7 linked regions of the Callithrix jacchus genome follow. The protein of the gene in region 4 interacts with the protein of the main gene of each other region in a pairwise test. Links are inferred from orthologs where the notes say so. Each region holds a gene or a part of one and is shown on either strand. Other genes may lie near its edges.

What was found.
Region 1: the proteins of MTUS2 (region 4) and BMP7 interact in a two-hybrid assay, tested with the Homo sapiens proteins (3 studies listed by BioGRID and IntAct). The two-hybrid records come from large-scale screens. The link is inferred for Callithrix jacchus from reciprocal best matches to the Homo sapiens genes MTUS2 and BMP7.
Region 2: the proteins of MTUS2 (region 4) and SNAI1 interact in binary tests that used the Homo sapiens proteins (3 or more experiments, as listed by UniProt). The two-hybrid records come from large-scale screens. The link is inferred for Callithrix jacchus from reciprocal best matches to the Homo sapiens genes MTUS2 and SNAI1.
Region 3: the proteins of MTUS2 (region 4) and TSGA10IP interact in binary tests that used the Homo sapiens proteins (3 or more experiments, as listed by UniProt). The two-hybrid records come from large-scale screens. The link is inferred for Callithrix jacchus from reciprocal best matches to the Homo sapiens genes MTUS2 and TSGA10IP.
Region 5: the proteins of MTUS2 (region 4) and RBM41 interact in binary tests that used the Homo sapiens proteins (3 or more experiments, as listed by UniProt). The link is inferred for Callithrix jacchus from reciprocal best matches to the Homo sapiens genes MTUS2 and RBM41.
Region 6: the proteins of MTUS2 (region 4) and AQP1 interact in binary tests that used the Homo sapiens proteins (3 or more experiments, as listed by UniProt). The two-hybrid records come from large-scale screens. The link is inferred for Callithrix jacchus from reciprocal best matches to the Homo sapiens genes MTUS2 and AQP1.
Region 7: the proteins of MTUS2 (region 4) and FAM107A interact in binary tests that used the Homo sapiens proteins (3 or more experiments, as listed by UniProt). The link is inferred for Callithrix jacchus from reciprocal best matches to the Homo sapiens genes MTUS2 and FAM107A.

What each region holds. Positions count from the first base shown.
Region 1 is NC_133506.1:52,758,689-52,762,188, forward strand, and holds part of BMP7 (bone morphogenetic protein 7), read right to left. Parts: intron 3,317-3,500; coding exon 3,240-3,316; intron 1,788-3,239; coding exon 1,677-1,787; intron 767-1,676; coding exon 617-766; 3' UTR 1-616. UniProt on the Homo sapiens protein: Growth factor of the TGF-beta superfamily that plays important role in various biological processes, including embryogenesis, hematopoiesis, neurogenesis and skeletal morphogenesis.
Region 2 is NC_133506.1:45,525,138-45,529,365, forward strand, and holds the start of SNAI1 (zinc finger protein SNAI1), read left to right. Parts: upstream 1-1,428; 5' UTR 1,429-1,508; coding exon 1,509-1,590; intron 1,591-2,270; coding exon 2,271-2,798; intron 2,799-2,878; exon of another isoform or gene 2,879-3,449; intron 3,450-4,228. UniProt on the Homo sapiens protein: Involved in induction of the epithelial to mesenchymal transition (EMT), formation and maintenance of embryonic mesoderm, growth arrest, survival and cell migration.
Region 3 is NC_133511.1:123,035,891-123,038,374, reverse strand, and holds the end of TSGA10IP (testis-specific protein 10-interacting protein), read right to left. Parts: intron 1,674-2,484; coding exon 1,574-1,673; intron 1,375-1,573; coding exon 1,250-1,374; intron 730-1,249; coding exon 606-729; 3' UTR 501-605; downstream 1-500.
Region 4 is NC_133506.1:148,710,559-148,714,058, forward strand, and holds the end of MTUS2 (microtubule-associated tumor suppressor candidate 2), read left to right. Parts: intron 1-510; coding exon 511-724; 3' UTR 725-3,433; downstream 3,434-3,500. UniProt on the Homo sapiens protein: Binds microtubules. Together with MAPRE1 may target the microtubule depolymerase KIF2C to the plus-end of microtubules. May regulate the dynamics of microtubules at their growing distal tip.
Region 5 is NC_133524.1:103,648,382-103,651,881, reverse strand, and holds part of RBM41 (RNA-binding protein 41), read left to right. Parts: intron 1-2,950; coding exon 2,951-3,354; intron 3,355-3,500. UniProt on the Homo sapiens protein: May bind RNA.
Region 6 is NC_133512.1:27,327,539-27,331,502, forward strand, and holds the start of AQP1 (aquaporin-1), read right to left. Parts: upstream 2,801-3,964; 5' UTR 2,743-2,800; coding exon 2,359-2,742; intron 1-2,358. UniProt on the Homo sapiens protein: Forms a water channel that facilitates the transport of water across cell membranes, playing a crucial role in water homeostasis in various tissues.
Region 7 is NC_133516.1:40,405,224-40,409,523, forward strand, and holds the start of FAM107A (actin-associated protein FAM107A), read right to left. Parts: upstream 2,801-4,300; 5' UTR 2,236-2,800; coding exon 2,212-2,235; intron 1-2,211. UniProt on the Homo sapiens protein: Stress-inducible actin-binding protein that plays a role in synaptic and cognitive functions by modulating actin filamentous (F-actin) dynamics. Mediates polymerization of globular actin to F-actin. Also binds to, stabilizes and bundles F-actin.

The sequences.
Region 1 (3,500 bases), about 96 Mb from region 4:
ACTGGGCCTCTGCAAGCCTCAGAATGACACCTGAAGGGAATGGAGAGGGACCTCCCCGACCTCCACATAACACAGCTTCTGTTTATTAATCAGAATAAACCAAAAAATGGGGATAAATTGTTTAGGAAAATATATCTGTAACATCCTAACCATTTTCATTCATTCGTTTTATTGTGACATTTATTACAGGAATTTCCGGGTCAATTTTCCTTTTGTGCAGACACCAATGTGCCCACCCTTTGCCACGCCCTCTTCCTCCCACGGCTGGGTGGCCTGGCCGGCGGGCCCTCATAATTACCTCTGTAAACGAGTCCGTGCACGGCTGAGACTTCCCAGCCAATGACCTGGCCCAGCCATTTCTCTTTGTGCATTTTTTTCTTTTCCTGTTAGGTTTTGCCTGCACAGCTTGTAGGATCTTGTTCATTGGATGCTGCCACCGACAAACTGATCAAAAGCCATATGCTGCTCACATTGCTTAACACTCTTACACCTTTAAAGTTGGGTACAGGGAGGGGAAGGTCTCACAAAAGGCAGTTGGTCTGCTGGTTCCTGGCCGAGGAGAGCAACGGAGGATCCAGAAAAACTTGGCCCCAAAGGGTCTGACTTCCCGGAGGGGCTAGTGGCAACCACAGGCCCGAACCACCATGTTTCTGTATTTCTTCAGGATGACGTTGGAGCTGTCATCAAAGTACAGGACGGAGATGGCATTGAGCTGTGTGGGCGCACAGCAGGGCTTGGGCACTGTTTCCGGGTTGATGAAGTGGACCTGAAACACGCACCAAAACATGGCCAGTGAGAGAGGGCTTTGGAAAATCAACACTTAAAAAAATCGAACAAACAAACAAACAAACAACTTTGCCTTCAAAAGGAAGAACCAAATGAAAGGAATATATGAGATTTTTCTCCGGGATTCAACACACAGGACGGGGACAAGAAAAGAAGGAGGCAGATTACTGAATGAAAGGAGGGGGTGGTTCTGGTAGTGAGCTCTCTGTCACCAGCAGCATTCAAGACAGGATGGATGATCACTTGGCAGGAAAGGTTTAGATGATGTTCATGGCAGGGAGCTATATAACCAAGGTCCCTGAACCTTGGATTCTAACCAAAGAACAGAATCCCTAGCTCTTATCACTGTGGTTGCTACTGGCAATCACATCTATGGAGTGTCGCCATGTGCTGGGCACCTGAATCTCATTATCACATGGAATCTTCCCAGTGGCCCCACTGAAATTTAACTTGAAATAGCCCCATGGGTCCCCACCCATCTCTCCATCCCATTATCCTGCTGGCCAGCTCCTGATCACTCTGCCCCTCGCTAAAATTTCTCATCTGTTTACCTGTTTCCTCTGCTGGAAAATGAAGCAGGGCCCAATACTCTTAGGCACAGTAACCAGTGCCCACAACACAACAAGCATCCTCAAAGGCGTCCATAAAACTTCTAGTTACTTTTAAAATTAGAAGAAATAAATGACCTTCAGGGTCAAAGGTTATACCCCTTTTTATACCAAACCAGTCATAAAATACAATTTTTGATTTTTTTTTTAATGGGGCAAGGGGTCATGAACGTCGTGACATGGCGTTCATCTATTCAGGACCCAGCTTGGAGGCAGCAGGATCTGTGGCCCCACAGCCCACCCGGCCCAGGTGACCACACCCCAAGACGGCGTGACACCCACCAGTGTCTGCACGATGGCGTGGTTGGTGGCATTCATGTAGGAGTTCAGAGGGAAGGCGCACTCCCCCTCACAGTAGTAGGCGGCGTAGCCTTCGGGTGCAATGATCCAGTCCTGAGGAGAAGAGAGTGTGGGAAACCGTGTAGAAAGCCTGAGCCGCAGAGTCCTGACCGCCATGTAGCCAGAAGCCACCATGCCAGGCCCTCAACCTGAGGTCAAAGGCTCAGACCAGGTTTCCTGAGCAGCAGGGGCCCAGGAGGGGAAGGAAAAATGGGTGGCCTTGCATGGTCCCAAAAGAAAGGAAAGAAGGACCAGTGGCTATGGCCCAAGCCTGTAGTGCAAACTACTTGGGAGACTGAGTGGGAAGATCGAAGCTGCAGTGAGCTATGATCACACCACTGCACCCCAGCCTGGGTGACAGAGCAAGACTCCATTTCCAAAAAAAAAAACCTAAAAATGAGGAAAGCCCCATGGGGCTGGACCGATCTAAGGTGGCCATCCATGGCTGTGTCTCCTGGACAGAAGACACCACAGCAAGGGGCCTTCGGTGTTAGGTGATCATCAGCTCCACTCCCTCTAGGTGGCCACAAACTGGCAGTTTACCTTAAACAAACCTCCATGCCTTGTACGCCCACCTGCCAGAGAGGCTAATAACTCAGGTTCTGTCCCAGCAGGAGGTGGATGTGGTCATCAGTCACAAGGGCAGGCTCATGGGAGGGCTTGGAACTGGCCATGTGTGTGTGCACACCCTGAGTGTGTCTGGGCATAGTCCCAGGGAAGATGCTGGACTCTCCCACTGACCTACAAGCTCCCCTAGGGCAGAACACCACCAGTTGCCCTGATGACCTCATGACAATACCCTCTCCAGGGATATTTGAGCCCCACGGGGCAGACACATTGCAACGTTCATCACTGTACCTCCAATCCAGTACCTAGAACAGGGCCCAGAACGCTGCAGATGCTGCCTGATTTCTGAATGAGAATCACATGAGAGCTCATGGCAGCCAGGTGGTAGATTCACTCACTCCTCTCCTAGGATTCATCCCCTGCCCTCTGTCTCATTCCATGCAAATGGCTCCAGAGGGGGTAGTCATGTGCCAGTAATGTGACCCCACCCCTAAAACATGATTGGTTCAGGAGCAAGCGCCTGTACCAAGCTGGGATCCATCCCTCCCCTGGGAATGGGAATGGGGTAGGTGGGAACAGTGGGCAGAGCAGGAGATGGCTCCACAGGCATCTGGATTCAAACACACAGCCCTGCCTCATCTGGAGAAGCAGCCAGTCATGGGATGGGAATGAGGTGCACGCAGAGCACCTCTGAATGGGGTTCAGAGTCCAAAGTGTTTGGGTTCCTGGTTCACATTCAAGTCTCAACTACATTTCTTCTCTTGGATTTCATGAGTCCTCCCTGCATCCTTAGCCCAAGTCCCCTTCCCTAGCGAGGCCACTTGATACAGGAGTCTTAACTGGCATAGATGAGAAACAGGACCAAGCACAGCCCCGCTGCCTCACGGGAGGCCCACGTCAGAGACCCCACGCCCAGGACAGACCCAGCCAGCCCCTTACCTGCCAGCCCAGGTCGCGGAAACTGACATATAGCTCGTGCTTCTTACAGGCCTGCTTCTGGTCGCTACTGCTGTTCTCTGCGTTGACAAGGAAGTGAAAAAGCAGAGGCCAGGGAGGAGAAAGAAACACACACGCATCAAAGTTCCCTCCGTCTTAGGCAGTGATGTGAACAGCAGCCAAGCACATTCCCTGATCCCAAAGCCAGTCCAAGGGTCTAACCGCCTTAAAACTCATTTCTACCCCCAGCAAAGGCCCTACCTA
Region 2 (4,228 bases), about 100 Mb from region 4:
CCCCACCCTACTCCCACTCTCCAACTAGAACCAGGGGAGGATGGTTGTGCTCACTGCTGTTACACCTGGCACCGAGTGACCAAAACAGACAATAGTCCTGCCCTTCGAGTTGTTGTTGGTTGGGGGGAGGGTGCGTAAAGGTGTTCATGGTCTTCCTTCACAGATGGAAACAGGCATGGCGAGACCTGTGGGGTTTATTTCAGCACCACCCCTGGGCCTGGCATGCCTCCAGGGAAGCTGGGGTAGGGGTGCAGCTGCTCCTCACCTGGGCCCACCACACATACATTCAGTCAGGGTCCCTTAGGAGCCGTGAGAGCCTGTAGACAGGATGGGGATCTTCAAAGGGCTCAGGAGACACACCGGCCTCATCCCAACTCTTTGCCGGCCTACGGGGATCTTTTTCAAGGAAACTCTAACCAGGTACCTCCTCAGCTGAAAATCCTTCGGTGGCTCCCCAGTGCCCTTGAGGCAAAGTCCAGATTCCTCACATCTGACCCCTCCGGGCCTGCCCACCCCACCCCATCCCTGGGAGCTGCTCTCCAGGAGTTACTCGGAAGCAGTTGCCAGTTCTTCCCTCGGGCCTTTCCCCTTGATAATTCTTCACTTCCTCTGGGCAGTCACCCCGACCCCCTGTCAGGTGACCCGCCTCTTAACGGTCGCCGCGTCCCGTCTCTCCCCCACCAAAGCACACTTCCCTTTGCATTGTAATTGTCTGTTTACTTCAGCTGTCTCCCCCATTGGACGGGTAGCTAAACTTCGAGAGAGGCTCTGAGTGTCCTGTCCAGGGCTGTGCCCCGGCCCCAGGTACAGTGCCCCACACGTGCTGGACGCTCCGTAAACACTGGCTAAGGGAAGGAACGGGCGCACTTCGCTAGGCTGCTTTGCAAAAAAGCCATGGCATTTCATGCTGCCAAGAGCCACGTGTAGTGTCCGTTTCCTCGCATCCTCCCCAGCAATATGCATTTCCCTCCTCAATGCCACGCTCTCCAGGCGCCAGCCGGGCGGAGGAAATTTCCGCCCCCTCCCAAGCCCGAGGCGGGGGCGGGCTTCGGAAGGTCAGGTGTCCCGGCCCGCGCGCAGCGCCAGGGGGCGTCAGAAGCGCTCCGACCGTGGGGCGCTGAGCGGGTGGGTGCGAGGGGTCCCGCCTCGCAGGGGCCTAAATGCGCCCGATGTCCCGCCCCGGACAGCCCCAGCACTGGGAACGACCAGCGCTGCGCTCCCGAACCCCGCCTTGCAGGAGCCTCCGCCCGGGCTCCCAGCGCCACGCGGCGCGAGCCGGGTCCGCCCCCGGCGCACCTGCTCGAGGCGTGGCCTTCGGCGGAGACGTGCCTCCGATTGGTGCTGAGGTGACAAAGGGGCGAGGCAGATAAGACCCCTCCCCTGCCGCCCCCTGGAGTATTTAAGGGAGTTGGCGGCGCGGGTGCACTCATTGCGCCGCGGCACGGCCTAAGCGGTGGTTCTCCTGCGCTACTTCTGAGCGACTCGGCGACCCCGGTGCGTTGGCCACCATGCCGCGCTCTTTTCTTGTCAGGAAGCCCTCCGACCCCAATCGGAAGCCTAACTACAGCGAGCTGCAGGACTCTAATCCAGGTGCGTTGGAGGGGTCCCGGGCTCCAGGAGATTTGGGGGAGACAGGCGAAGGCTGCGTGGGGGGCACCTGAAGGAGGCGGCCTGCTTGGGCCAGGATCGATTCGCAGGATGTTTTGTGGAGCATTGAGGGCTCGGGCTCGGGAGACCGGGCAGGTAGGTCTCCAGTCCCAGGGATCTATCTGAGTGGTTTGGGGGGTGCCGTGTAGCGGGCAGGGGTCTTGCGCTTGGGGGGCCTTTGTAGCCTGCGAGAGGCGCAGGAGCTCCCGAGGGGAAGGAGGCCTGTGCCAGGAGGGCCCGCCGGACGCTGCTGGGGAGAGTCCGGAGTCCAGAGTGTTGAGGAGAGGGGTGGAGAGACCAGATGTGTGTGAGGAGGGGGACTGGGGTGGAGTGGTGGCTCGGGGGCTGGGGTAATGGGCTTCTGGCTTCAGGCTGGGGACTTGGGACTCAGGAGACCGAGATCTGGAAATGACCCTCTTCAACTGGGGGTCCTACCTGTGAGAGACTCAGGTTGGGTGACCTGGGCGAGGAGGGCAGGAATTTGGTCTGCCCTATGGATAATTTTATTGATCTAATTATGTGTTGAGAGTCAGCCTCACCCAGCCCCTGGCCAGCGGTGGGCTCTAGTTTGTTGATTGAGTGAATGATTTAATTAACGCCTGACTCTGCTCTTTCTCCCTCAGAGTTTACTTTCCAGCAGCCCTATGACCAGGCCCACCTGCTGGCAGCCATCCCACCTCCGGAGATCCTCAACCCCACGGCCTCGCTGCCAACGCTCATCTGGGACTCTGTCCTGGCCCCCCAAGCCCAGCCAACTGCCTGGGCCTCCCTTCGGGCCCAGGAGAGCCCCAGGGCGGCAGAGCTGACCTCCCTGTCAGATGAGGACAGCGGGAAAGGCTCCCAGCCCCCCAGCCCACCCTCACCGGCTTCTTCGTCCTTCTCTTCCACTTCGGCCTCTTCCTTGGAGGCCGAGGCCTATGCTGTCTTCCCAGGCTTGGTCCAAGTGCCCAAGCAGCTGGCCCAGCTCTCTGAGGCCAAGGATCTCCAGTCTCGAAAGGCCTTCAACTGCAAATACTGCAACAAGGAATACCTCAGCCTGGGTGCCCTGAAGATGCACATCCGAAGCCACACGCTGCCCTGCGTCTGTGGCACCTGTGGGAAGGCCTTCTCTAGGCCCTGGCTGCTGCAAGGCCACGTCCGGACCCACACTGGTAAGTGCCCCTCCTGGCCCGCCCCACTGCTTTCTCTGCCAGCTTTTGTGAATCTGGGCTTACTTTTCTCATTCTCAAAGTTGTAGACACGGAGGCCCCGAGTCTCCTAACTTCTAACTCAAGTTCAGGGGCCCGGCTCTCTGGAAACGTTTGGCAGAAATGTTCCTTCATCAGCTAAGCAGATGGGCAAAGCAGACACCTTTCCAATCCCCTGCAGCCAGCTTCTCAGCCAAATGGGTAGGAGCTGGATATGGGAAAGGTGCCACCAGCACCTTGTGGTGGTGGCCAGGTGCGAAGGGGTCCGCCTGGCCCCACCCTCTCCTGATCCACCCCTCCCTAGCCAGACAGGATGTTGTCAGACCCCCCCCCCACCTGGCTCTGAATCCTGCTTTGAGAACTTTCTCAAAGCTTGGTCTGATGTTTCACTTCTGTGAGCCTCATTTTCCCTATCTTTCAGATGGGCATGAGAACAGCCTATGGGGTTTCTATGCAGGCTAAATGCAGGAATGCGTATGGGAAGCACCTGGCAAAGTGCCTGGTACCTGCTAAATGCTCACAAAAATGCTTCCTTGCCGTTTGCTCGGCTTCCCTGCTGTGTGACTTTGGGCAAGCAACTTAACCTCTCTGAGCCTCAGGGGAGGATTATGATAGGTAAGTTTTAGAGAGTGACTGTGAAGGTTGATAATCACTTTATGCTAATCACTTTGCAGTAATTTATCATACCTGGTGGTTCTCTGGTCTGCTTCCCCACCCCCACTCAGTCCTATCTGGCAGACCAGGAAAGGCATCTTTGGGGCAGACAGCGCAATCATGTCTTGGTGTCTTGAAAATTTACTAAATGCGTAGGAAACTTTCTGGACGTGGAGAAAAGGTAGAACTTTTTAGAACTTGAATGGTGGTGACCACCATGCCCAGAGCTGCTCTGGAGAGTGACGGTTGAGAGAGGAGATTCCAGGGGTTCACCCCGGGCAGGTTCTGCCATTTCCTGACCCAGCACCTGACCTCGGAGTGGTGAGGGTCAGTGCGGTGTCTGGAAGGCCTGGCCTTTTGCAGGCTTTATTGGCATCTTACTCAACTAAGGCTACCCATTTCTCTTCCTTTGTGCACCCTTAGCCCTGATTTTAACATGTAAAGGTCCAACTGCCTGGCCTTCTGGGTGCCTGCCTAGCTCACAGGGCTCTATTTTGGGAGCGTTGAACCCCTCAGGGTGCTGCTCTGCTGTCCCCCCTCCCTTGCCCCCAATCCGGCATTATTTTAATGTAAAGGCACGGCTGGGACACAGAAATGTATCACTGCTGTCCTCATTGACTCCCATTGTGTGCCTTAATGGTGGGCCCAGTGGGTGGGGGCTGGGAGGAGCAGAGCAGGTGCATGGGGCAGCGGTGCCCAGCACCTGTTCCAGTCGCAGCTGCTGGCCCAGTGCATGGCAG
Region 3 (2,484 bases), on a different chromosome or scaffold from region 4:
GTCAGTGTGTCCGTGGAACCCCTGAAATTGAATGCAAAATATGGCACATCTGTGTGTATGATTTTTTTTCTTGAGGAGAGGATCCCTAACTTAAAACTACTGGAACTTAAAAAGACCAATGCACACATTCCCTCCTGAAACCCCTCCCCCCACCCAACGGTTACTAAGACTGTGGCTCCCTGTGTGGCACAGTCAGTCTGTGTTAGGGTATGTTGTATGCACCCCTCTGAGGGTCCACCCCCCCTCCCACTGACTGGGCATCCTCAGAGGCGGGAGTCGTTCCATCTTATTCACGCTTGAATTTCTAGGACCCAGCATACACATTGAGGATGGGGTGGAGAAGTCACAGTTCTTGCTCTTTGAGATGTCCCCACTCCTCAGGAGGAGAGAAGGGGCTGTGTGTGCTGGGTGGGGGGAACCAAAAGAGCCAGAGCTCCTGGGGGGATGTGGGGGGAACCAAAAGAGCCAGAGCTCCTGGGGGGATGTGGGGACAGAGCTAAGCCTGCTGCCCACTCACCTGCCACCTCTCACTTCCAACCTGGAGCCTCCACCACCACCACCAGAAATCCCACGCTGTGTTTGCCATAAAGCCTTTCATTTTTATCTCAGGGACTGCACTCCGGGTCCACGCTGGGGGTGTGGTGCCTGCCAGGCTGGCTGCCGGTGGGTTCTTTCCTTGGGGGGCTCTGAGGAGAGTGCTCCATTCTCACCCTCATTGGCCTGTGGCTCCTTCAAGACACAGATAGAGCCCCCTGGCTCTTCAGCTGCCACCCCCATGCCCAAAGAAACCACTGACAATGTGGCTTCAAACCCTGCTCCTATACTGGCTTGCTGTGTGGTCCTGGGCAAGTGACTCTCTCTTCTCAAGTCTCACTTTCCTGATTGTCAAGTGGGCTTCATAGTCCCTGCTCTATACCAGGTTTATTCGAAGGCATAAGAGAGGTATCCGAGGAGTAACCAGTGTGGTGCCAGCCCCTAATGAGGGCTTGGTGTGCGGCAGCTCGGATGGCTGCAGAGTCCCACACTGACTCTGCTGCTTGTTCGTTCCTGTGTCCTTAAGCAAGGCCCTGCCTGTCAGGTCCTTAATTTTCTCATTGAGAAGTAGGAATGACAACCCTGGCCTAGACTTCCTTGGGTGACAGGAAGGGCAGGGCCTAGGGGAGGCCCTCCAGAGCCCAGAGTGCTGGTGTGGGCGCCCCATCCCTCAGCAGCATGACAGAGCCATTTCTTGACCTGCCGGGGGACTCACCTGGGTTTTCTGGGGGTGCCCACTGTGTCCGCCTTTCCTGCCTCAGCCAGCAGCTGCTCCTCATCTAGCCCCAGTGCTGACAGCACCTGGGAGAAGCGCCGGGTGACAGTGAGACGGGCATTGGCCTGAGGAAAGAGAAAAGGGCTTCCTGCTCTGTGCCAAGGCTGCCGAGGGCAAGCTGGGGCTCTGGTTACTGAGTGGGCCCCAGGGACTCCCCAGCCCTGGGATCCTATCTGCAGGGACCTCCGCCCATGCTGCTTCCCTACCCACTCAGCCAGCTCTTCGCAGCGGGCAGCTGTGTGCTTGCTCAGGTGCCAGCCTCACCTGCATGGCCTGCTGAAACAGGAAGGGCCGGGCCTGCACCCTGTGCTGGATGCCCTGCAGCTCTGCCTGGTACTCAGCAAAGCGCTGTCGCTCCTGACGCCTGCAGGAGAGACAGGCTTTTGGGCAGCTAACCGTGGACACAACTGTTCATCCCCACTCTTGAGCCCGCTCATCTTTACTCAGGGCTTGATATTCATGCTCTCACCCTCACCTTCATAAAGCGATTGCATGCCCATTCTGGCCTTGGATTCCTTGTGAAGTCAGCCAGTGTGGACATTATTCACCAATTTACTGATGGCTCAGGAGGGTTGAGGGACTTGTTCAAAGCTGGGCAGCTGGGAAGTGAGGGACTGAGCCCTGTGCAGCCAGGGCCTTCCCATCCTCCTGTGCCACCCCCGTGGGAAAGGGGCCAGTGCTGGCTTCTGAGCTTCCAGACACCTGCTTCCATAGCCTCCCTCTCCCTGTCCTCTTCCCCTTGAGGGGAAGCTGTGGTTGTTAGCTGTGTGACTTTGGGCAAGGCCTCTCTCTGGGCTTTGCGCTCAGTTTATTTCACTGTGCTATAGCAGCGATCGGACAAGCTTGCCAGAATTCTCTGTGGTTCTTATAAGCAGACAGCTTGGAAAATAGGACAGAGAAACTTAAAAAAAAAAAAGTGTTTCAAATTTAAAAACCACATCCTGGAGAGATCAGGCTTCCATTGGAGAAGCACAGTTTTCATTTACAAGAACCCAGTTTGGCTGGGTGCAGTGGCTAGCACCTGTAATCCGAGCACTTTGGAAGGCAAAAGAGGGCGGATCCTTGAACCCAAGAGATTGAGACCAGGCTGGACAACACGGTGAAATCCTGTTTCTACAAAAAAATGCAAAAATTAGCAGGGCGTGGTGGTATGCACCTGTAGTCCCGGCTAGCTG
Region 4 (3,500 bases):
CTAGCAAGGGAGGATGCCTGCTGTCCTGGAGGCGCAAGCCTGGGGCAGGGAGGCCAGGAGAAGGCATCCCCAGTTTCCTGGCAGGCTCAGGAAGGCTGGCAGCTTGTCTCTGCCCTTGTGCTGTTGTCATTGTCAATTGCCACCTCTGCAGCTGACTGTCCTCTTGGGGCCTCCTGGCAGCATACCCACTCCAGCTCTCCACTTCCCTCTGTTCAGTCACTGGACCTTTGCTCTTTCCAGTGGATAGACAGAGCAGTGCCTCCCCTGACCGGGCAGAGGGCCTGTGAGATGATGGGTGTTGGCCAGAGAGCCTCTGGGAACAGAAGTGTCATTGGGCCAAGTGGAAATCATGATTCAATCAGTGTTCTTGGTCACGGGGCCGCCCTGGTCCCCGTTCTCCTTGCGGGCATCACAGCCTCCTCTCCTTGCCCTGCACTCATTGTCCCGACCTCAGGTTCAGTGTCCACCAACATGATTGCTACTTGATTGATTGTCGTTGTGCCCATGCAGACAACTGTCGGAGGAAAATGCTAACCTCCAGGAATATGTTGAGAAGGAAACCCAGGAGAAGAAGAGATTGAGCCGAACCAACGAAGAGCTGCTTTGGAAGCTCCAAACCGGAGACCCAACCAGCCCCATTAAACTCTCGCCCACATCTCCCGTTTACCGCGGCTCCTCCTCGGGGCCCTCCTCTCCGGCCAGAGTCAGCATGACTCCCAGATGACGCCACCACGCGGCCTGCGGGAGCTCCGGCTTCTCGCCCTCCTGTCTCCACCCTGAGGGAGCACTGACCCGGTGCTGCCGGAGCTGGCCCTGCACGCATGCTTCAGTAGCTGCAAATGCATCCAAGGCGCGTCCTCCTCTGATCCCCGTGTAAGACTGCCCTGGTGTCAGCACTTAGGAACGTGTAAACGGTAAAGTCTGATGTGCAAACGTTTTACCATAGTTAGAGCCAAAAGAAAGACACTTGCAATTGTTCTTGAGCAATGAACTTTCACTGCAGTATTTCAGGTTAGTTACCAAAAGCTCAGTTTTCAATATACATTGAATAATCTTTGTGTACTGCACCGGTATGTGTGTATATTTAGATACACATATATACACATGCGGCGGTTCCGAATTGCATTTTTTATGAAGTGCTGACATATTTTAGTGAAGGTCAGCAGTTTTCTAACTTGTGCCTAAGAATTATTGGGAAATGAAAATGCATTTCTATCTAGCTTCCCAGGAATATTTCTACCCAAAATAGAAAAAGGAAAAAAAAAAGGATACAGAGAAGAAGCGCCTTTCAACTCACCACCAAGTGGTACTCTCTTTACACGAACACCAGCGATTTGTGAATGGTAACTGCCTTTGGAACAATCAGCTTCTTAGTCAACGTGATGTGAGGTCACCATTCTTCCATTCGCAAGTTTTAATTATTAATACGCCTGCCATGCGTGGATAAGGGAGAGCCGTGGGAAACCCTAAGGGGGATTAGCAGTTTTTCAGATGTGACTTATGACAGTGACTCATCTCCAATAGTCTTGTAAACAAGTTTTGCTTTTTTCCTAAATGGCATCTCAGACTCGGTCATTAAGCTACTGTTGCACCCCTGGGAAAACATGGCAGAGCATGACGTTTGAGTGAGAGTGAGGATGGCCTTGGAGATGACTGCGCCCGTTCACGCTCCATCCTCATGAAGGAAATTGCTGCTAGGGTCTGTATTTTGACCAGGCACAGAGTGGGACCGTCACGCCAGCTTTCCATGTGGTTCGCTCTGATGCAATGCTGTAAATGATCAACTTGTTGAAATATGACCCTCAGGCCCCCACTTCATAGCAGTCCCCTTTTCAATTTGGTTCTACAGCTCAACCCCTTCACTGCACATTGAGGTGGCTCAGGGGTTCTAGCAGGGGCGTCTGGGAAAAACACCATTTTCTGTCCCGGGGGACCAGTTCTGAGCTGTGCTAGATCATCACACCACCACCCAGAAACCCGCTTGCACTTCCTTCTATGTGATCAGGCAATGCTACCGCTGACTGTGCTGCCATCTTAGACCCAGAAGGTTCTCCCAGACAGAGGAGCGCAGTGAAGCAGCCAGCCAGGCGGCACCACATCCTGGACTGGCACCTGTCTCTAAAATGGTAGAATTAGGATGTAAACAGTACTCATGTAGTGGTGTGGAAGATTAGGAGCATGATACACAAAAGGAAGTAGTTTTAACACATATGGTGATGATGATGATGCCCTTGTTTCCTTGTGTATGACAAAGACCCTGCACTATCTCTCTGAGGCCCCCCAGAATTATCCTGAGCACAGGCCTGTCTTTGAGCATGTCCAAGATGAGAAGAACCATGAGAGGGTCCTACAGGGGCTGGAGCCATGGAGCAGGGAAGAAACAGCCCGAGGATGAGGTCGGCTTGTCCAGGGCACGCCTACTCGGCACATGTGTGGCCAGCACAAAGACAGACATGGTCCCTGGCCCTAGCATGAGTCCAAGCTGGGCTCCCGGGCCTCAGGTACATCTCCAGCAAGCCTCCAAGGGTCTTGTTCCTTCTGGGGACATACACAGTAAATCCACATGGAAGCACCATTTCTCTGCTTTAGTGGCTCTGCATGATACTGTGATATTGAGTTGGGCATTCCATTAGAGTAGATCATGCCACATTGACTAAGTACACAATTATTTATTCTTGTAGCAGCCACAACCTGCAAACACAAATTCGGTTACAGCTTAGCTGTCCGAATTAGGAACTGCTTACATAGCCGCACCTGCTAAATGCAGTTACACAGCAATACCGACTTCCGTGTGATGCTAGGACGTGGTACAGTGTGTTAGGCTGCTGTGGTCGGAGTTGTAGCATTGTTAGCACTAAGTAATTCCTCATTAGGTGGACTTTGCTGAGAGCTTTGCCCTAATCCGCCCTGACCTTGGGTACTTGGGCTAATTTCCACATGGCCCTGGCTTCATTTTCGTTTGTTTTTGTGTTTTGTTTTGTTTTTTTTGTCACGGACACCCATCATGTATGGCCCTTCATCTGAGCCATGGGGTGGCAGCTGCTATGCCTCCTCCTCGATTCTTCCATCCCTCCACGCCATCAGGATTAGGATTTCTCTCCACATGGCATCCGCCTCTGTCCCCTTCCAGGCTGGAGTGACGTTTCCACGTTTGGATGCTGCAGCCTCCGCACCTGCCTCAGACAGACCCACCAGATACCACCGGTCTCTTCGTGGCGTTTGGAGATGCGTGGGCGGCCTGCCCCCACCCCTGCCCCTGGCCACCACATGCTGGGACAAGGTTCTGGTCGAATGTCAGAACAGGTGGGGATGGGGGCGGCCCCAACCGTGATTAGTTGAATGAATGGGGTCACAACATCTTTTTTCCTGCCCCTATGGTTTGTGTTGCATATTTGTGTTTAACTCTAAAGCCTATTAAAGTAAACTCGAGGGACTTTCTGTGATACCTGCTTGATGTAACTGGAGACCTGTCCCTCTCATGCTGGGGATTCCAGGCAGGG
Region 5 (3,500 bases), on a different chromosome or scaffold from region 4:
ATATGGAACTATCTCCAGGATATATTGTTAATTGCAAAAAGTAAATTGTAGAACAGTGCTTATAGTAGGTTACTTTTTATGTAGGAGAGAGGTATAACTAATGAATTATGTGTATGTATGTATATACCTATTTGCTTATATTTTCAAAAAAGAAACAATGAAACCATAAGCCAAAACCTAATAAAAATGATTATTTATGGGGAGTGAAAGGAATGGGATAAAGAGGACAGAAATGGAAGTGAGACTTCTGTGAAGGTATTGTATAACAGTTTTACTTTAGATCCATGTAAATATTTTGCATCATTTAAAAGTTTAATTAAAAAGGTAAAAATCAATCCCTAAAATTCAAAAACAACCTGAAGCAAATTAGCCTAATGATAAAGTTAGTAACATAATCCACACAATTGGAAAACAAAAGAAAACAATTACTTATACTGACTTTAAAACAACATTTGTATATTTCCAGTGGGGTCCATATTCTAAGGGCAAAAGTAACTGCAAAGAAATATAAAACTATATTCAGCAGTTTTATTGGTGATAGTATTGTTACTGACATTTTAAAATTCTATAAGTATATTGTAGGAAGAAGATAATAAATCATTTTGCTAATATTATTTTAAGCATGTGAGAGGAAATACAACTCTAAAATGAAGGAGTTTAAGTAAAAACCTTGTTATCTCAAATTTGAGTTGGAAATACCAATATAAACTCATGATTTACTTTTCCCTTTCAAAATGTCCCTCTTGCTCAGCAAACTAACACAGGAACAGAAAATCAAACACTGCATGTTCTCACTCATGAATGGAAGGTGAACAGTGAGAACACATGGACACAGGGAGGGGAACATCACACACTGGGGCCTATGGAGGGAAAGGGAAGAGACAGCATTAGGACAAATACCTAATGCATGTGGGGCTTAAAACCTAGATGATGGGTTGATAGGTGCAGCAAACCACCATGCCACATGTATACGTATGTAACAAACCAGCATGTTCAGCACATGTATCCTCAAACTTAAAGTAAAATTTTTTTAAATTAAAAAATAAAATAAAACCATTCCGGTGTATCATTTAAAAAAATGTCCTAGCTTTTGACCACTGAAAAGGCCTGGAAACAATAACTCAGAAGTTGCTTCTGTACACACCAGCAACACAGTATGGTTTCTAAATATCACTTCCTACTAAAAGGAACCAAGGGTCCTCACAAAAATATTCCAGGTTTGAGTTAGGAAGTGTGCAAGATGAGTTTAGGATATTTGGCTATGCCAGAAAGCTGGGAAGCAATACAGGAGCCAATTTGAAGGGTTTCCCAATGGTCCTAAGTGGAATAATAATACATTTTATTAGCACAGATAAAATATATGAAAATACACTCTTTTATTACTATACTAAAAATAACCATTGGTCACCATTGGACATTTCTTTCCCTCCCCTCCCCTCCCCTCCCCCCGCTTCCCTCTTCCGTGAGACGGAGTCTTGCTCTGTCGCCTAGGCTGGAGTGCAGTGGCACACTGCAACCTCTGTCTCCTGAGTTCAAGCAATTCTCCTGCCTCTGCCTCCTGTGTAGCTGGGACTACAGGCACCCGCCACCACACCTGGCTAATTTTTATATTTTTAGTAGAAACGGAGTTTCACCATTTGGCCAGGCTGGTCTTGAACTCCTGACCTTGTGACCTGCCCTTCTCAACCTCTCCAAGTGCTGGGATTACAGGCATGAGCCACCGCGCCCAGCCACCATTGGACATTTCTAAGGTGTCAACTTTTACTCTCATAATTGATAAATAATGGCAAAGAATCAAGCATTTATCCTGCCTTTCCCATATGATCTACATTTAGGGAAACGACATAGTTGATGACGGTAAGTTCACCATAGAATTCCAGATAATAAACACAAAAGAAATAATAGAATTAGGAAAGCCACAATTTGCAACTCTTAATAAATTAATATAGGTAATGGTCATCAATGGATGTAAAAAACCCATTAGGTAGAAGGTGAATGGGAAAATTTAATAATGGGGGCATGGGACTAATATCACCTAGCACCTCAATCCATTGATGAATTTCAGCATCACTACAAATGGGACCACCAAACATTATGTGCCTTATGATATGATACAATAGGAAGTACATATCTATCTATAAGGAATCTAACCTGTGGATCAGCACCACCCAATGTAACTTTCTGATATGATGTAATAGTTTTTATCTGTTTTGTCCAATATGGTATCCACTAGCCACATGTGACTATGGAGCACTTTAAATTTGTTAAGTTCGACTGAGGTACTGATATTTAAAAATTAATTTAAATAGACACATGTGACCAGTGGCTACTATATTAGGTAGCATAGTTATAGATTAACTGCCAGTAAATAGAATGGATTAAGGAACAAGTTAACAGCATCAGAAAATGATTAACCAAATTCATTTGTTCATAGAACAAATGTAGTTTATTTAATCAATGGAGGAGAGATAAAATAAAATAGAGGGGTGGGAGAGAAGAGGCACTGTTTTAGAATAAAACAATCTTAAGAAATATAACAGCCAGAGGCAGGTTTAGATTCTGAATTGAATAACCAAGTATAAAAAAAAACTTTGACATAATCAGGACAATTTGAACATGACATTGGTATTAGATGATACTAAGGAATTATTAATTTTGTGAAGCATAATGCTATATGGCTTATATATTTTAAATGTCCTTATCAATTAGAGGTACATGTATTTGCATGACCCTAGGTGCCTCACTTGCCTCACCGTAGTTCTGGCCTATAGTTGTGCTTGAAATAAACTATCATAAGATAGCTATATACCATTGTCATTTGTCACGGGTTGTAAAGACCTGCCCCAGCAGTGTTTCTTTATCTGAGGTCCAGGATTTAATTTTTATTAATTTGTCAAAGGTTGTATTGGTAGGCTTTGTGGAACTTCCCTATCTCTTTGTCTTCATCCAGATGAACCCCAAAAGAAGAACAAAGGTGATCCCATGAACAACCTGGAAAGTTTTTACCAAGAGATGATAATGAAAAAACGTCTTGAAGAGTTCCAACTTATGAGAGGTGAACCCTTTCCTTCCCACTCACTGGTCTCAGCTCCATCAGTGGGTGATAGTGGCACAGCTGAGAACCCATCATTACTCGAGGACAAGGGAAAACAGGCAGCACAGGGTAAAGGTCCCAGTCTCCATGTGGCAAAAGTTATTGATTTTTCACCTGAGCAGTGTTGGACTGGGCCTAAGAAGCTGACGCAGCCAATAGAATTTGTCCCAGAAGATGAAATCCAGAGAAATCGTTTGTCAGAGGAAGAGATCCGAAAAATTCCTATGTTTTCTTCATATAATCCAGGGGAACCAAACAAGGTATAGGCCAAACCAAGTAAAACAGCCTGGGTTGATTTCACTTTTATTTACCTCTACCTAAAGTAATCCTTTTAAATTAGCTTTGATGATACCAAAGAATCATGATATAGGCACAGTGATTGTGTTTGTCCTTGACCTTGACTATT
Region 6 (3,964 bases), on a different chromosome or scaffold from region 4:
CCCCTGTCCCTTTTAAGGCATCCGGGCCACCCCTGAGCCCCCTCCAGTTCCAGGGCCAGTGTCTGATGGGAGCCCTCGGGGGGCACATTTCTGTTTCTAGGCCCAGAGTTGAGCTGCAGAACCCCATCCTTCCTGTCGGGACAGGGCAGCGCCTGAGCCCCCACTGCAATTCGTAGTGCCCTGAGGTTCAGCACTGGCCCTGCTTGGCTGCTCTTACCCAGCTTCCCTGGGATGGGTGATAAGTGCAAAGCAATGAAGTGAGCTGGCTGTATGGGTGTGGCTGTGAGATGTCACAAGACCTAGGTCCCCTCTCCAGGTTCAGGGTCCGCAGCTCCAAGGAAGCTCAACAGGTTAGCTACAGACACGTCTTGAATCCAGGTGTGTGCCTCCCAGCCCAAGGCTGGCCCCCACACTAGGCTGCTCCTCTTTTTCTCCCATTTGCAACATGCCCAGCCCAAGTATTGGGGTTACTATAAAAAACGGAGGCCAGGGAGGACATGGGGCACGGGAGTTGGGTGTGGCCCCTGATCCAGATGGCACAGATGGGGCCCACCCTCCTGCCTCTGCCTCAGATGCCCATACTGGAGCGTGGAGCTTTTGCCAGCAGGTGCAGAGGTACTGCCCTGTGAGATGGGAGGGAAGAGATGGGGCCAGAAAGCCTGGGAATTGCAACCCCTCCCCCATGGGGACCCTTCCCCAGCCCATGATGCCCAGCCAAGCCTCAGTGTGAGCTTGACCCTACCCATTGGAACTCCCTGAGGCCACAAGCTCTGCCTCCACTGGAAACTGAGGCCTGGGGGGCAGAACTTGACGTGGCCTGCCTGAGCTCTGTCCCTTACATCCCCTGTAGCCATGTCTAAACTGGCAAAAGTCTAAACTCCAGCCCAGGGAGCTAATCTTCAATCTTGGGCTGAGCAGAGATTGGCTGCAGAGGAAGCTGGGCAAGCTGTCACCATGACACAAAAGTGCTAAGCCCCCCGTGGCCGGGCTGAGCCAGCTGCCCTCTGCACCAGACCTTTACCTAGCCTCCTGCTGGCTGCCAGCCCCAGAATCTGAACTTTGGCTAGGAAGAGAGAGGACAGCTGCTATAATCACTCCTGCCATCTCTGTGGCACCCTCAGAGATGGCTCACACCATCCCCACACCTGCCTGCCCTGCCCACAGCCCCGCCAGCCTCCTCTCTCTAGATGAGTCCTCCTCTCTACTTCTTAGCCTCCCTCCCTCCCCATGAGGGCACCCCCAAGCCTGCTCACCTACCCCTTGGGCTCTCAGAGACATCCTCCAAGCCTTCCTCAGTCTCCAGGCCAAATCACCCCTGCTATGGCCCAAGCCCGGCCTGAGTTTGCACTTGTCTGAGGAGCTGGAAAAACTCAGGTCTGAGATAGCAGGCAGCTGCCACCAGTGGCCTATTAGCCGTGCTAAGCAGCTCAGGAGACATTCTCTTCCACAGCTGCCACCCAGTCACCAGCATCTGCTTGTCATTAGTGACCCCAGTCCAGACCCCATTCAGGCCAGGAGCCATGGGCACGTGTGGTTACAAACACCCCCACACACCCTTACACGGGTGCACAAACATGCGCACAGTTTACACAAGCTCAGAGACCCATGCTGGCAAACACATGCACACATGCACACCCACACAAACACAGACACACACAAACACAAACACAGACACACACACACGCCACACCTGTCAGTGCCTGGAGCCCAGCACTTGCCCCCCAGCCCACACTGTAATCCAGGAAAACCACTTCCAAACAGCCCCAGAAAGTGTTTTCACTCCCTTATCTTTGTCTAATTCCCTGGAGCAGAGGAGTGGAAGAGAGCTCTTCTCTTAATTCCTAGAGGTGGTGTGTTTGGAAACCTGTGTGAATATGGGGGGCTCCCCAGAGGCCTGGGGGCTCCCTGAGGGAGTCCTGCTCATACACTTGCAGAACCAGCTGCAGACAGGCTGGGCATCAGGTTCAGGGTGGCTAGGGATGGTGGGCAAAGCTTCCCCAGGGTGCAGGGCTGCAGGAGGAGGGAGCTGGCGGCACAGGCAGGACTGAGAAGGGCCAAAAAGCTACAGCCAAGGGGCGAGGAACGGCTGGCCAAGCTTATTCCCCATAATAAATGCCCTGCAGGGGACATTGGCAAGACCATTATTCCCTGGCTCTCAGCTTCCCACAGTGCCTGGCGGAAAACAGGCTCTGGGAGGCATGCATAGCTGAGTTCTAGCCCCAGCTCTCTTCGTGACCTCCAGCCACCTCTTGTTCTCTCCATTCCTCAGTGTCCCCATCTGCACAATGGGCCAAGGATGGAACCAGTGCCTTTCAGCATCATGCTAGAACACCCCGAGCCCGGGGACACCCCACTCACGTCATTGCGGCCAAGCGAGTTCCCAGGCAAGGAGGAGGTGATGCCGGAGAGGATGGCGGTGGCGACGATGGCCCCCACGCACTGGGCAATGATGTACATGAGGGCACGGAGAATGCTGATCTGGCAGCTGAGCAGCAGCCCCAGCGTGACGGCTGGGTTGAGGTGGGCACCGCTGATGTGGCCCACGCTCTGCGCCAACGTGGCGATGCTCAGTCCGAAGGCCAGCGACACCTTCACATTGTCCTGGACTGCCGTCTGGTTGTTCCCCACTGGGTATTTGAAGCCCAGGGCAGAACCGATGCTGATGAAGATAAAGAGGGTCATGGCCAGGAACTCAGCCACTACTGCCCTCCAGAAGAGCTTCTTCTTGAACTCGCTGGCCATGCTGGCAGGGGGCTTTGGCCTGAGACCGCTGCTGGGTGCTCAACTCCCTCTGAGAGCTGAGCCACAGCCTGGGCTGGGCCTATTTATAGGGGCGGGGGGGCGGGGGGAGCACAAAGGGAGGAAGGCCTCTCTTCACTCCTGGCCCGCCCCACACCGCACGGGCCTCCTCTGGATGGATGCAGACTCGGCTCTGCTGTCGGCCTGCCAACTTTTTCCTTCCTCCTCTCCCCCCCCCTCTCCCTCCGCCCTCAGCCCTGCCCAGCCCAAGGAGGCAGGCAGGAGGCGGCCGTTGCTCTAACAGGCTTTGGGAAATTCCTCCAAACTGGCCTCACTCAGGGGACCAGAGAAATCCAGGTGTCTCCACCCTGTGTGCAAAGCTCAGGGGGTTCCTGAGGGTAGAGCCAGGAACTCGAGTGGGTGGAGTGGGTAGGCTGGACTCGGTGGGTGGACGCTGCCCTCCCTGGAGGCAGGCACCATGATCCTGCTGGCCTGACATCCCCATCCCAACCCAGAGAGAGACTGGCCTGGAGTTTCTGAGCCCAGGGCTCCAGAGGCACAGTCAGGGCCTCCTGCACGACCACTGCATGCCATGTTAGGGATGTCCCAAAGCCCCCAGTCCCACCAGCCAAGCCTCAGTGGAAGCAGGCACGGAGGCATCAGTAGGTGCAGAGAGGTTGTCTATGGCTGCTCTCTGTGCTGTGAGTATGGCAGGGCTGTTAGAAAGCGCCCACCCTCGGAGCTCCCGAACTTCTCAGGAGCTGTTTGAACCAACGATTTGAGGGCAGGTTGGTGACGATGGAGACAGTTTCGGACTTTCCTCTCAAGGCAGTCACACTGGCAGGTCACTGGGAAGGTGGAAGGAACGGCAGCCTGACCTGGTATTGGAAGGTGCTGGAGAGGAGGGAGTGAGTGAGCAGGAGAGAAAGGGAGAGACAGGGAGATGCAGGCTGAGGGGAAGAGAACAGAGAGACACGGAGAGAAGGAAGGCGGTAGCAGGGAAATAGAGCAAAAGTGGAAGTGAGAGAAAGATCCCCAGCCAGAGACAGTGAGACAAGCAGAGACACAGAGAGCACGCAGAGGGTTAAGAAAAGACGAACTGAAGCAGGGGAGATAGGACTGGACCCCAGAGCCAAGAAGCAGAGAGGGAGAGATAAATGAGGAGAGGCAGAGAGCAGGAGGGGCCTGATGAGCCCCCCACAGCAGGAGGGACCAAAGCCCTCAG
Region 7 (4,300 bases), on a different chromosome or scaffold from region 4:
AAGAGGAATAGACACAACAACGTTGTGTTTTGACTCTTGGCCCAGGGGTCATGTGCCCGGTCCCCTCTGCTTCAACTGTCACACATACTCCTACTTGCTTGCCTGTCAGTCTCTGCGATTGACAGGGATGGGCTCAAGGTCAGGGACTGTGTCTCCTCATCCTTGGCTCCAGCTTCACACAGACCCTGGCACAGGGCAGCAGGTGCCCGGTCAACAGCCTCCTATGGGAGGTTGAGGTGGGGGTTGATCAAGATGCCGTGGACAGGGCTATGGACCAGGAAGGGTGGGATGGGCTGGCTTGTTTGGCATCAAGCAGAGTGGGGTCAAAATCCTTCCCAAGAAAAATGAGAAAGAAAAATAAAACTTTAACCCCCGCAAGTGACTGAACGGACCCCCTCTTGACCAAGGGGACCCCAGAGAAATCTTGAAAAGTGAGTTTCTGGCCATGGCAGGATGGGAGGTTGCATGCACCCTGTGGTGCCCTGTTCCTTGATAACCTCCACTAGACTTTCTTCCCTAAGAGCTAAACAGAAGCCGGCCTTTTCAAAAGACTCCATGCTGATTTCAACCAACTGCTCCACCCTTTTACGGTTTTGACACAAAAACCCACCAGCATTCTTTCTTGATAAGAGACCACCAGTCATGGAGCGGTTCTAGCCAGTCTGCAGAGGATGCACAGTGAGGGTTTTCATGCCCCCTGCTTCCCCTTTGATGTCAGAGGGCTGAAAATTCCACCCTCCGATCACACTAAGGCCAACACTTTTTTGTACACGGGGCCCATAAGAGGCATGAAGCTCAGCTGTGCATGCACATGTTTCTCCTTTCATAAATACACATGACTCCCCCACAGCTTATTGAATATGTATATTTGGCCACGGTGCTCAGCATACATTTCAATTCCCTTTGCCTCTTCCTCAAAGTATCAGTCTCTGGCTTCTGGCCAGAGGCCATGTTTCCCGGCCTGTTGGAATGGCCACCCTGCAGGCTGTAATCTTTATGAGAAATAAAGCTCCCCTTTCCAAATTAACACCACCACCACCCTGCTCTTTCCCCCACTAGCTGCATGACCCTGGCTAGGAAATGACTTCTTCCCTGAGTGTCTCAGCGTTGATGGAATAGGTCATCCCTGGTTGTCTGAAGGTCAGAGTCCCCTGTTTATTGGGGACCCTCTGGGTGTCAGGTAGCGCACTGCACTAAGCATTCACAAGCAACACCTTACTGAACCTCCCACAAAGCAGGTACCAGCCCCATTTTACAGACAAGAAGCTGAGGTCCAGAGGGGTTCAGGTCCTCGCCACAGTAGGTGGGTGGTGGAGCTGGGACTTCGCAGCCTGACCACGCCCCGGGGTGGCAGTACTGGGCTGTGGGTGGAGAGCAGTGAGCTCCTGTGCCACAATCCCACAATCCCCAGAGCTGGTGAGTACATGCAGGCCCCTCCCCTCTTTGCCCCCACTGATCCAGGAGGTCTGACGGGCCCCGAGAAAGCGACTGTTTTCCAAGCTCCCTGCTCCTCCCCGCCCCACAATGCTGATGCAGGGGTCCAAGGGGTGCATTTCCAGAAACACTGCTCAGGCAGTGCTGTCTACAAACCCCCAGCTGAGAGCTCAGGCATAGGAGGTGAGGGATAATAGCATGAATAGAATTCTACTAACAAAGGAGCAGAGCCTCTACACAGTGCCAGGCAGCGTTCTAAACGCTTTCATTCATATAATTTTCACAACGATTTTCCAAGGTAGTGATTATTATTGGCCCTATTTTACAGGTGAGGAAATGAGGTACAGAAAGCTTAAATAACTTGCCCATTGCCCTACAACTGGTAACAGCTGGTTAGCCAACTCATAATCATAATCATAATAATTTTAAGATCTTTCCCCTGTATCCACCTGCATCAGACACTCTCCTGGGGTGTGGGGAAGGGGTACCCTGGGAGCTTTTACTCAGGGAAGTAGAGATGTGTGTGGCTAATACCAGGGAGCCAGAGAGGTTCGGCTGTCCCCAAGTCTGTCCTAGAGATGGAGAGATTAGGATGCTGGTTTTGCCCTGAGCCCCCACCAGTTTTCTAGCTGCACATCTTGGCTGTGAGTGCCAGGAAGAAGATTGGTGGGCAGTGCCAGCTGAAGCTCCCGGGTAGGTGGGTCAGGGCTCCCACTTGCTGGGTTCAGTTTCCCTTCCCGTGTCCGGGGCCCCAACAGGACGCTTGGGGGCTCCTACCTTCTTCCCCTGGGCTGCTCCCATGGCACGAGGTGGCACCAGGCCTGGGTGGGCTGCAGGGACCAGGCTGGGGTCCTTCCTGCTGGCGTGGATCTCAGGAGCCAGGACCTGAGGGGCTCCCGGGGCCAGGGCCCCCTGTCCTCTTGTGGCTCATTCTCCCCGGCACAAAGGCGGCTTTCACAGCTGCTCCTAAGCCCAGAGCGCCTCAGACAGGCTTAGGGCGATTGATCCTGACAGAGGGGCCAGTGTCCCCAGGCGGCTCCCATGCCTTTCTTGGGTCCCTGCAGCTCCTCACCTCCCAGAACGCTGCGTCTCTCAGGAAGGGAAACTAAGGCAGCTGGGAAAGGGGGGAAGACGCGAGGCAGTCCTCTCATCACACACCGGTAGCTCAGGTGCGGCGGGTGACCTCTGGCTGGCCCTTGCTAGGCACTGCTCAGCAGACAGGGCCAGACAGGGAAGGCCGAGGGCTGGCTGAGGTGCAGAGCTCTGGGACGGCTGCGTGGGGATGTCAGCCTCGGCTGGACAGCCCCATTAATAATAGACCTTTGAAGACTCTTGGGGTCTGGGGCTCTCCCACAGCAGGAACTCTGAGAGCAGACGCCTGGGCAGCAGGCTGCCTGGGAGGGCTGGAGGTCAGCTGGTCTGGGCTCAGGCCAAGAAAATAGCTGAAGGCTGGATTCCAGGCCTGGGGCCAAGTTCTCAAAGTGCCCCCGGCAATCACCCTCCTCCTCATTTGCCAGCCCCTTCCTTCTCTGTGATGCCAGCTTGTAGCAGAGGTTAAGCCTGAAAAAACCTTAGGCTTGAACTGTGGCTCTGCCCCTGACAGCTGTGTGGCCTTGGGGGCACGGGGTGTGTGTGTGTGTGTGTGTGCGCGCGCACGAGCGTATGTGATAAGCACTCCCACTGCACATGGCTAAATGAAGTAAGGTGTGTGTGTGCAGCTGAAGCTATCATTTTGTGTAAGCATAAATCAGAGCATGTCACTCCCTGTTTGTTTGTTTGTTTGTTTGTTTGTTTTTGAGATGGAGTCTCACTCTGTCACCCAGGCTGGAGTGTAGTGGCACAATCTCGGCTCACTGCAACCTCCGCCTCCCAGGTTTAAGTGATTCTCCTGCCTCAGCATCCCGAGTAGCTGGGAATACAGGTGTGTGCCACCAAACCCAGTTGGTTTTTGTATTTTTAGTAGAAACGAGGTTTCACCATATTGGCCAGGCTGGTCTTGAACTCCTGACCTCACGATCTGCCTGCCTTGGCCTCGCAAAGTGCTGGGATTACAAATGTGAGCCACTGTGTTTGGCCATCACTCCCTGTTTTATAATCTGTCGCTTCACTAAAGGTGGGTAACAGTTGCCCCCACTGCCTGGGGCTGTGAGGGTAAGCAGAGCATCTAGCGAACAATTCCTCAGCGAAGTTAGGTGCTGCTGTTAAGAACACAAATGATAAGTCCATTGCCCACTGGAAAGTCCCGGCTAACCAGTTCACTAAGCACAACGCCCTTTCCCCAGAGGTGGGCGGGTCGGGAAACCTTGCCACTCTTTCCTTTCCTCTAGCGCGGTGCCTGGCACACACACAGATGCCTCATGGAACCGTAGCTGGAGGGTCAAGAATTAGGCATTCTGTCCAGCCTTGCCAACAGAACAAAAGCCCCCAGGTCCACAAGGTCTGACAAATGGCCTTGCTAGGACCTCAGTTCCTTCTCCTCCCTCTCCCTGGCAGCTTCTGGGTCACAGCACCTTTCCCCTTCCCAGGGCCTTTGCACTTGCTACTCTTTCTGCGTGGGATGTTTCCTCCCCAACTTCCCCTCTGCTCCTCATATTTCATATTTTGATATTTGCATGATTCTCTCCTTTTTATCTCTCAGGCTCCTCAGAGAAGCTTTCTCTGACACCTTCTGCACAGTAGTTCCCAGGCTCTCTGTTTATTACTTTGTCGCAGCACTCATCAGTGACAAAATGATATGACTTCTGTGTCGATTGTCTCCTCTGCCTGGAATGGCAGTTCCACAAAGGCCAGGGCCTGGTCTGTCCTGCTCCTCAGTTTCCCCCCTGGGTCTAGAGCAATATTAGTGGAAGAATACATGATGGAGGAT